2 linked regions of the Caenorhabditis elegans genome follow. The protein of the gene in region 1 interacts with the protein of each later gene in a pairwise test. Each region holds a gene or a part of one and is shown in the gene's direction. Other genes may lie near its edges.

Region 1 (5,895 bases):
TCAGATTCTTTTGGTGTCACAACTCTTGTTATTTTTGGAATTGAATATTTCTTGCTCACTCTCTGGACGTTCGGAATCTCTGTACCTTCTGGTGTCTTCATTCCAGCTATTCTTACTGGTGCAGCATGGGGCCGCCTGTTTGGAATTTTTGTTGAACGACTTTTCCCTTCGGTTACTGGAATTGATCCAGGAAAATACGCATTGGCAGGAGCTGCCGCACAACTCGGAGGCGTTGTTCGAATGACAATTTCATTAACAGCTATTATAATGGAAGCAACTAAAGATATTACATTTGGATTACCTATTATGTTGGTGTTGATGGTAACAAAATGGGTTGGAGATATGTTCAATGAAGGACTTTATGATGCTCATATTGATTTAGCAGAAGTTCCAATTCTTGGTTGGAATCCACCAAAGATGAGCAGAAACATTTTGGCAGAGTTGGTTTTTTTGTTGTAACAATTCGAAAATCTTTTTTTAATTTTCAGCCGCGTGATGCGAAAAGATGTTGTGGCTCTAGAACGGCGAGAAAGAGTATCCAGAATCGTTGAAATTCTTCGTTCCACACTTCATCATGGCTTTCCAGTAGTAGATAGAATCGAAGAATCGCCATACGAATCACTCCCTGATTATGGACGCCTGAAAGGTTATATTCTGCGATCACAACTGTTCAAACTTCTGGAAAATCGAATTTTCGAGGAAGAAGGAGCTTCAAACTCTGCACTTCCAAATGATTTTTATGAATGCCAGGATGACGACGAGTAAGTGATTTATATTGAATAAAATACGAATTTTAAAACAGAAATTGTTTGGTATTCAACATACTACGAAAATATTATAATTCAATTGTTATATATTTTATTTTCAGCCAAATGAAATCTGTTGCTGAACTCGGATTAACAAATTTCGACGAGTCATGTTTCCTGGACATTGAGCCCTACATGCATCCTCATCCGCACCGTGTTCCACTGAACACATCTCTTCCATTCATTTTCCGACTTTTCCGTGGACTTGGACTTCGATACCTTTTTGTGGTGAACGATGATAATCATGTGAGGACGAACATTATCCAAATTTATTTTTTAGTATTGTTTTTCAGCTTCGTGGTGTGATTACTAGAAAAGATGTTGCCAGATTCCGTGAAAGACGCCGAAACCGCGAGTATCATGTTGATGAACTTTATATTTCTGAATCTTAAATGTTCTTATTCTCTTTCATGTTCTACCATTGCCATTTTGAAAACGTGTTTTTTAAGTCATGGAAATGCACAGAGAGTTTAAAAAATATGTTTGCGTTTAGCAAGATGTCGTTTGGTCTCTTTTGGGAAATAAACTGAAAAACTGAAATTTCGTTTGAAAAAATAAATCGCAACACTACGTTGCAAAATGTGAACTTATTTTGAAATTTTCTGTTCATGTCATAGACACTTTCTTAACAATTTTATTCTGTGATAAATCTTAATCGGTACGTTTGTCTAATGTGTTTTCCGGTATTTAATTTCATTAATTATACTCTCTAGAAGGCGTGAAATAATACCATTATGATTTTATAGACAATTATAATTTTATAAAGGAGCATCGGTAATTAGGATGTACAGAAACACAATATAATTTTTAAAAAGGGTTGAAAGTAAACTTTTTTCAAAATTTAGGTATTATTGAGCCAAAGATCGCATTCGTAAACTCTACAATACCTAAATTATGATGCGAACTAATGCAGGAAAACAGACCAGGACTTTTGTGTATTTAAATATGTTTTGAAAAACGAAATGGGTTACTGTAGCCGAGGTAAAAGTACGCAGAGTTGCGTCATATCCGTTGTAAATAATTCGCCAAACGAAAATTATTTTCTAAATTAGTTTTTAGGAACATTTTTGTTTGGAATTTTGTATGAAACCATTTCACAAACCCTCATTTGATTTTTAATAAATTAATAATCATTATAACGCTTCAGATGAGTGCTTCTGACGGTGATAACACAGAACAAACTGGACGACGTCGCAGTTTTGGGAACTTGTTTGGATCAACACGTGTGCCTTTTTCCTCACTTTCCGATATTTATGCAAATCAAAGTACGTTCGCAAAAGATCAAGGAGTACAATCTGAAGTCGACGTTGCTGATGCCTGGAGCCAACATCACGCTCCAACAAGAGATCAATATGTCCAATCAGAAATTATCACGGCTGTGGAAACTTCAAGCCAATACGAGGTTCAAACAAAGGATAAGGAGGTGGAAGCCATTTGTTCAACGGCGAACAGAACAACACAAACTTGTCATGCAACCAATATCGCCGGTACAAATTCAGAATCTTGTTTAATCGAAAAATTGGCAAATTCACTTTTGGAACATCTTCAAGCTCGCCGGCCCATCAAAGCTCGGACAGCATTTCCAATTTATCTCCAGCAACCTGAACAACTCCAGTTGCTTCCTCCACCAGATCAGCAATCCGCGCCTGTGCCGCCGAGTCATCCGTTGCAAAATTCTGAAGGTAACCCACTTTAATATTCGAACTTTTTCCCATATTTTAATTCGTCCTACGCTCAGGTGCATACATTGAAAATAGGAACATCTCTTGTATATGTCCGCAAAATATTGAAAATATTTCTAATACTCATCATAAAATTAAATTTAAGCTCGTCAAGAGGATCTCGAACAAACTGAAATGCCACAAGCTTCGCAACAAATTGGAATTAATGAGACCAGTCTCAATGATGCCGATTCTCAATCGTTTTTCCATTCGAGACTTCATCAAACGGAACAGAGAGAAGGTATAATTGGCAATAGAGCTTACTAATATAAAATAAATCAATTATTTTGAGAGTAGTAATTTACAGAAACAAACTCAAACAGCATGCAGTCAATTCATTCACAGGTTAATCCACCAGCAAGTCAAGAAACAATGGAAAGTCATTTCCCTGAAATGATCAATTCTCGTAAGTCAGACCATCAACTTTGCTTCTCGTTTAAAAAAGTAACTTCAGAGCGATGCTCATCATTCCCAACTCGACATGATGGATCTTCGCATTTTGCTCGTTCATCATCTGGCTTGCTCGGAAGTATGTCTTCACAGCAACAACGGTCCCAATTTCCTGTTCCCCAAGAAGAAGGAAATCAGGCTGAAGACATGCGAGGGGCTCAGCAACCACATAATGCTAGAAATTTGTTTGGAGGTGAAATATTTTATATTAAAAATGCACTTGGCTCTGTTCAGTTTCGTGTTCGGCTAAACTTATTCTAACAGACAATGAAGAAATTCAAAATTTGTCTTCCACTGCCACCAGAAATCAGTGAATTCAATAATTTTATGAATTGACCAGCCGTGGACCGCACCTCCGGCGCGGCTCCCGACCTCTTGGAGCTAAAAACTAATGTTTCTGAAACTACCGTAATCATGCAGTACTCCTACCGTATCACTATTGTACCACTACAGTAACCCGACTATATCCTTACACTAACCTCAACTCACTATCCCTCCAGAAGCTAAAATTTCGCAGACTACAAAGACTACATAGACTACAAACTATGGACAAACGGAATAAGCGCTTTATATATATATATATATTAGTAAATGATAGTAATTAATTAATTTTCAGGGGTCGGAGGGATGTTTCCATCAATGCCGAATTCCTCGGGAGGACAGGGACCCGATTGGCAAAATAATCATTTCATTCGCCCATTCGGTCAACCTGCGGCTGGCATGATGAGTTGGCATCCAGGAATGATGCCATCTCGTGAGTATAAATTTTGACTACCTCTAATTATAGTCAATTAAACTACTTATGAGAAATTACACGTTTTAGATATGAATAACTCCGCGGCTCCATCTTCTTTTTTTGAATCTCCGTTCATGCCGCCATATGATGTTTTTATGCAGCAGCAGATGCTTCTACACTCTCAATACGGTTCGCTCAATTTCTGCAACTTATAGTAAAGGTATATGTTACAATTTCAGCGGCGTGGGAGCAACAACGGAATCATGCAATGATGTATCAAAATGCACAAAATCAAAATTCGGCGAATGTAAATCCTTCATTTGCCGATATCCCTTCTGCAGCGCCGATTTCTCAGCCAGAAGTCAATGTTAATGAAAACCAAATCGTTCCCGAAGAAACCGAAAGGCTTGAGGCTGATCTTGAAATCGAGAATACTGTCGATGCGATCATCGGTAATAAAAGTATAAATTACGACCTAACATAACATAACATAATATAACAGTAACAGATGTTGGATCCGTCAACCAAGCTGTATCTGGAGTCAATTCGATTGCTCGAGAAACAGAGGAAATCAATAATCAAGATGTGCGAAATGAGACACCAGTGGAAGATTTCGGATCCATAATATCAGCGATTTCTATAACTGAAAATAGAAACGAGTCTCCAATGCCAAGCGCATCTGAAACCGGTGAGGATCGAACACCAGTTGTTTAAATATAGGTTACACAATGTACACCAGGGATGTGTGGGATCTGGCTTTTTCGGCGAACGGAATTCGTCGTTTGTCGCTCAGTCCTGATGCGCCAAGTTATTTCTATATTATTTTATTTCTATTTTTCAGATGACACATCTCCACATACCTCGCGCTCAAGATATGGATCTTCTGTTGCCATTTCCACCGGTATGAAAAGAGCACGACTCGAACCATCACAATCTCCACCGGGCTCATCTCGCAAAAATTCAAGGAATGAGACGACCAAGAAAAATTCAAAAACTCCTTCTTCTACAATTGATAAAGAACCTACTTCATCAAAGAGGACAAGAAAAGGTATTATTGATTTCGAATTTATGTAAATAACCTTTATAAATTAACTACGTTTTTCAGCTCCAGCGCGCTACGAAGCGGAATGGAACGCCGAACAAGGAGGCGATACTCGTCGTGCAAAAAGGTGGTCAAAAGACTTCTATAAGGCTCCCAGTAAAAAGTAGATTTAATTTTTGAATAGGTAATAGTAAACTTTATTGTTTTTTGTTCATCATTCGTTGCCCATTGTTTCACCGATTTAAAAACGCGATTTCTCAAATCTCATTAATGTTTCCCTTTTTATTGCCAGATGTCTGGAAACCTAATGTTCCTTCTCCATTTTCTATGGTTTCTCTTGTTTTTTTTAAGTTTTTTTCTCATAATAAAGTTTTTTTCAAGCTCTGTCGTCCAAAGTAGTCTAGGTGTTCAGTGGAATTATTGAATGTAAGTTTCAGCGTCTTCAAGGGACATTGAGTGGGAATGGGGGAAGTGTTGGGTTACTGGTGCTGCGTTTGTATTAGAAATCAGAAAGTAAATTGAACGAAGAACAATTGTTTATTGGGTGAAATGTTCGGAATATAAATTTAATTTCGACATTAATCTATATACATAACCGTAATATTTAATTCTTTTTTCGAATTAATCAAGCAAATTGATGTTTCTTTTTCTCTTCTTCAATCGTCTCTCGTGTGACAAATGTGAATGATTGTGGTTTATCAGTTGCCATTGGAAAGAATAAAATATTGGCAATAAACATAAGTAAACCATTGAGAATATATACATGACCCCATTGAGTATGAGATGATTCATCTGATACAAATATGGCAACTGTTGCTGGAGCAGCAAATAAGGCAATACATTTCATAAATTGAATCATCGCAAGCACAAAGTGAGCATATTGACTGAAATTTGTTTATGGATAATTGCATGGTTTTCAGAATAATTTACAGTGAATTCATAATTTTCAGTGTTTAAATTTTTGGATTTGGACACAGTTGGAGTATCACCACTTAGGATTTTGTCTGAATGCACTCAAAATACTCAGAATTACCAAATTTCCTAGTTTTGGAAAATTACCAAAATAAAAAAGAGCTTTTGAAAAAATCCAAAGCAATTTCACAGGTTTCAACCCTTATTATATTCAAATAAAAGTTATTT
Region 2 (3,744 bases), on another chromosome or scaffold:
AACTTCTTAACCGGTACAGAGAAAAATGAATGACGGGGGTTTGATTACGGGCATGATGGGAGTGAGAATATGACAGATAATATGAGAATGATACATTCTTAAAATGAGGAGCAACTCAGGCATAAGAAATATGACAGATTGAGAGAAGCTGGAGAGGGAGATCATTCATGGAGAGTTGTACCAATTGCCACCTTCTTTGTACGACTTCTCGTTGTTGCAGTTAGGCGCGGTAGGAATCAATGGGTACAGATAGTAAACCCACCTGGAATGATAAATTTCAGTTAATTAATTGATTTAGATACTCACTGTGGATATACGAGTTCCTCGGATTCCTCCACAAAGCCACAAATACTCGAATCGTTCGAATTGTTGGTACCGTTCTACAAAAATACATTACAGCTAATGTTCAATGAAACTTTCTGGTACCCCATCATCGATAATCAGGTCCTGTGCGACAGGCTCGTCGATTCTTTGTCTCTCCACTTCTACTCGAGGCTGTGCCCTCTGAAACGGAATCGGCGCAACGGCGGGTGCTGTAGTTCTTGTCCTTCTATCTTGTGACAATCTCTGAAACCAAGGTTTGTCTCATAACGAAAATATGAAGAAAATAAACTCACTGGACCGGGAGTAGCCGACCGACGCGACATGCGGGATGTCTGAGCATTTCGGGACTCGTTCATCAGCTAAAACAAGAAAAATTAACTTTTTTTCGGTGTACTACAGCACTCACTATGATTTCGTCCGGATAAGATGGCCACGAGTCTGGCGATCCAAGGGAATAAGCACCTGTAGTCACCCAGTCGTACACCCTGAAGAATAAGTAAATTAGGAACATTTAAAAATTAGTTTCATACGTTTGTTGCCTGGCGACCTCACTGACTGGACCGCTCCAGATTTTGTCCCTGTATGCGCCTTTGCTGAAAAGAAAGTACTCGAAAAAATGACATTTTTTATTCAAATACCTCGGGGAGTGCTCTTCTCTTGGCTTAGAACTCCAATTCTGTCTCGTTTGATGACGTCCTCGATAGTTTGGCATCTGAAAACAATGATAAACGTTTTTTGAGCTTGAAAGGAGAAAATTTAGGCAAACTCGTCCAAAAATGAGAATTCAGACCGTTTTAAAAATAGCAAACAAGTTACAGTAATCAAAGGAGCAGTCAGTAAACTAAATTTAGGCCTCACCACGAGTTAGCGAATTTCACTTGCATTTGCGTATTTTTAAAGAATAGTACTTTTTAAAATTACCTCTAGTAATCAAATTTGTTGACAGTTTTGAAATGAATGAAAAATTTACTTTAAAATAAAAGGAAAAGCTGCATTTAGTCAAAAATTATTTGAATAGTTTTGAGCTTTTGTAATTGCGTGGCGAGACCAATGGACTTACCCAATCCGATGTACCTTTAATTTAGCATTTTATTTGCATTTTTGAAATCCTAAAATTCTTTCCTAGGCTTTCGAAATTGACGATTTTCTGTGTTTTTTAAAATTCAAATATCGTTTCCTAGTTTCGAAAATAATTTTTCGTTTTTTAGTGTATCATTTTAAGCTTGTCATTGGGTTTTTTCTTTCTTTGCATAGTATTCCTCGAGGAATTATATTATATTTCACATTTACAAACTCTTGCCTAAAAATGAGACTGTTTTTTTGCAGATGGCGCCCTTGGAAACCATCTACGACGAATCGCTCAACAAATCGGCGGATTCCATTGATGATAAGGTTTTTTTCATGGTTTTATGGCCATTGTAATTTTTTTCATCTTTAGAAATGGTCCAAACTTTTCCCAAGGATTGTCAGCGACCCGGATCGATCATCCAATTTCATGACCAGAGCAATCTACGTCGCGTTTTCGGCTGTTCTTAGGAACCGTAACATTCTTGGACAAGAATATTTCACGAAGAATTACATCACTGGTAAATGTTTTTCTTATCACATTTTATAGTAAATGTTCTTTTTCAGAAAAGCTGAAATGCATGACGCTGTGCTTCAGAAACCCACGGTCTAACCAAATCGCTCAACTACTTCGAAATGCTGGGGATGCAACAAAGGATGGGTTTCTGAAAGAAGTCTCCCTCGTGATCACAAATAATGAAGGAGATCTTGAAGCCATCGAAGTTTTCTCTATGAAGTTCATTTATTTTGAGAATGGCGGCGTGGTTGCTCGTCTGAGCACTGACAAGAATGGCCAGGAAGATCCTCACTTCGCAAAGCTTGCTCAACTTGTATACGAGGGTGGCGACAGCGTACGAGATCAAATGGTGACGATTGTTCGCAGTGTTCAGTTCCTCTGCACAAAAGTTCTCGAACCGTTGCCAGAAGAATTCACGGCTAATTTTCGATTGGAGTACACAAACGATGCTCCATCCAATTTCCGCATTGATGGCTTCGAAGATTCTTCCACTTTTTACACACTTCCTGATGATATCCAATCGGCAACCATTGGTCACTTGCGCCCAGGATGCCACGCTGCAAACATGGAATGCTGGAGCATGTTGATGTCCGATTCATACGAAGCAGAGTTGACTCTCAAGCGACACCTGGACAAAGTTTCCGATAGGCATGGATTCAATCCAGTGAATGTGCTGTATAAATCGTTTAATTCGGAGGACAGTGACACAAGTCTTAGTCAGGCCACTACTGAATCTGTCAACGATCAAGGAGGAAACGAGACTTCTCCGGTGGATGATATAACTGTTAGTTTATTAGTTTTTTACATATAAACAAAAAATTTAAAATTGTAGGAGTCTCTCGAGAAAGCACAAATGTCGCCTATCCAGACGAGACCAACTACTCGCAGAGGAGCCGATGGCAGCAAAACCAGATCGTCTCCATATTCTCGTTCCTGTAAATAATTTTTTTCCTAGCTTTCAATAGATTATAGCTTCATTCTGTAACTTGGCATGTTCTATATCATCGTGTAAAATGTTTTATTGTCTTGAGTGTTTCCTTTCTGCTCCATTATTGTATCCTTAGTTTTTTTTATTCAAATTACAGTCATTCATAAATAAATCGACTGGTGTTATTAAATAGCATGTTTCCCATGACTCCATTTTCAAGATACTCCAGTGCATTTCAGAATTTTTCAACAATTGACCAATCTAAAAAGGATTCTCTCTTTTCTTCTTCTGCTGGATACCGCTCCGAGTATCTTTCGGTAAATCTCGAAATTCTCTTTGTATTCACCATTCATGCTGACCTCGATAACTTTTCTCAAGGTTCTTTGCTAAAATTTATGTGGTTTGCAAGGGAACGTGGCGATTGTTGATTGTTGGTTTCAAGTTTTGAAAAAAAACACAGTTTATTCTACTTTTCAATGTCAGACGTCACAAAATTTATCAGAAAAAGCTTTTTTATTGCAGTGTCTGAAACAATTTTATGTAGTATTCAGGTTGATTGTAGTCGTTTTAAAGGCGCGTGCTACTTTAAATTGGTCTCGCCACGAAAACCATATATTTGTATGTTCTGTTAAAAAATCACATTCTAGCGAACAAATATCTCAATTTTCATTTAAGAAAGAGCAGTCGCGCCTGTCGCCAACAAAATGGATCGTGGCGAGACCTATCGAGAGAAAAATGTTCTTTTGAAGTGGAGTCTTCAGATTTGGCGAATTAATTCACGAATTCACGACTGGATATTACCCAGACACAAAATGTTGTAATTTTTTCGCCAAGAATACCAGGTCATGGGATTAAAAGGATTAAAGATTAAAGAATACAATTTTTGATTAAAAAGATTAAAAATACAATT

What was found. Proteins that work in one complex are often made in the same cells at the same time.
Region 2: the proteins of R07B7.2 (region 1) and htp-1 interact in a two-hybrid assay, tested with the Caenorhabditis elegans proteins (2 studies listed by BioGRID).

What each region holds. Positions count from the first base shown.
Region 1 is NC_003283.11:12,055,806-12,061,700, reverse strand, and holds R07B7.2 (PUM-HD domain-containing protein), read left to right. Parts: upstream 1-1,951; 5' UTR 1,952-1,953; coding exon 1,954-2,488; intron 2,489-2,633; coding exon 2,634-2,768; intron 2,769-2,834; coding exon 2,835-2,933; intron 2,934-2,981; coding exon 2,982-3,170; intron 3,171-3,593; coding exon 3,594-3,731; intron 3,732-3,800; coding exon 3,801-3,902; intron 3,903-3,952; coding exon 3,953-4,174; intron 4,175-4,215; coding exon 4,216-4,401; intron 4,402-4,554; coding exon 4,555-4,761; intron 4,762-4,818; coding exon 4,819-4,922; 3' UTR 4,923-5,139; downstream 5,140-5,895. Other genes in the region: clh-6 (Chloride channel protein), read left to right, coding at 5-440, 489-761, 869-1,052, 1,100-1,198; F10C2.7 (Major facilitator superfamily (MFS) profile domain-containing protein), read right to left, coding at 5,381-5,639.
Region 2 is NC_003282.8:5,389,464-5,393,207, reverse strand, and holds htp-1 (HORMA domain-containing protein), read left to right. Parts: upstream 1-1,650; coding exon 1,651-1,716; intron 1,717-1,762; coding exon 1,763-1,910; intron 1,911-1,956; coding exon 1,957-2,690; intron 2,691-2,738; coding exon 2,739-2,849; 3' UTR 2,850-3,019; downstream 3,020-3,744. Other genes in the region: ZK616.5 (uncharacterized protein), read right to left, coding at 166-262, 307-380, 427-567, 618-683, 731-809, 855-917, 963-1,036.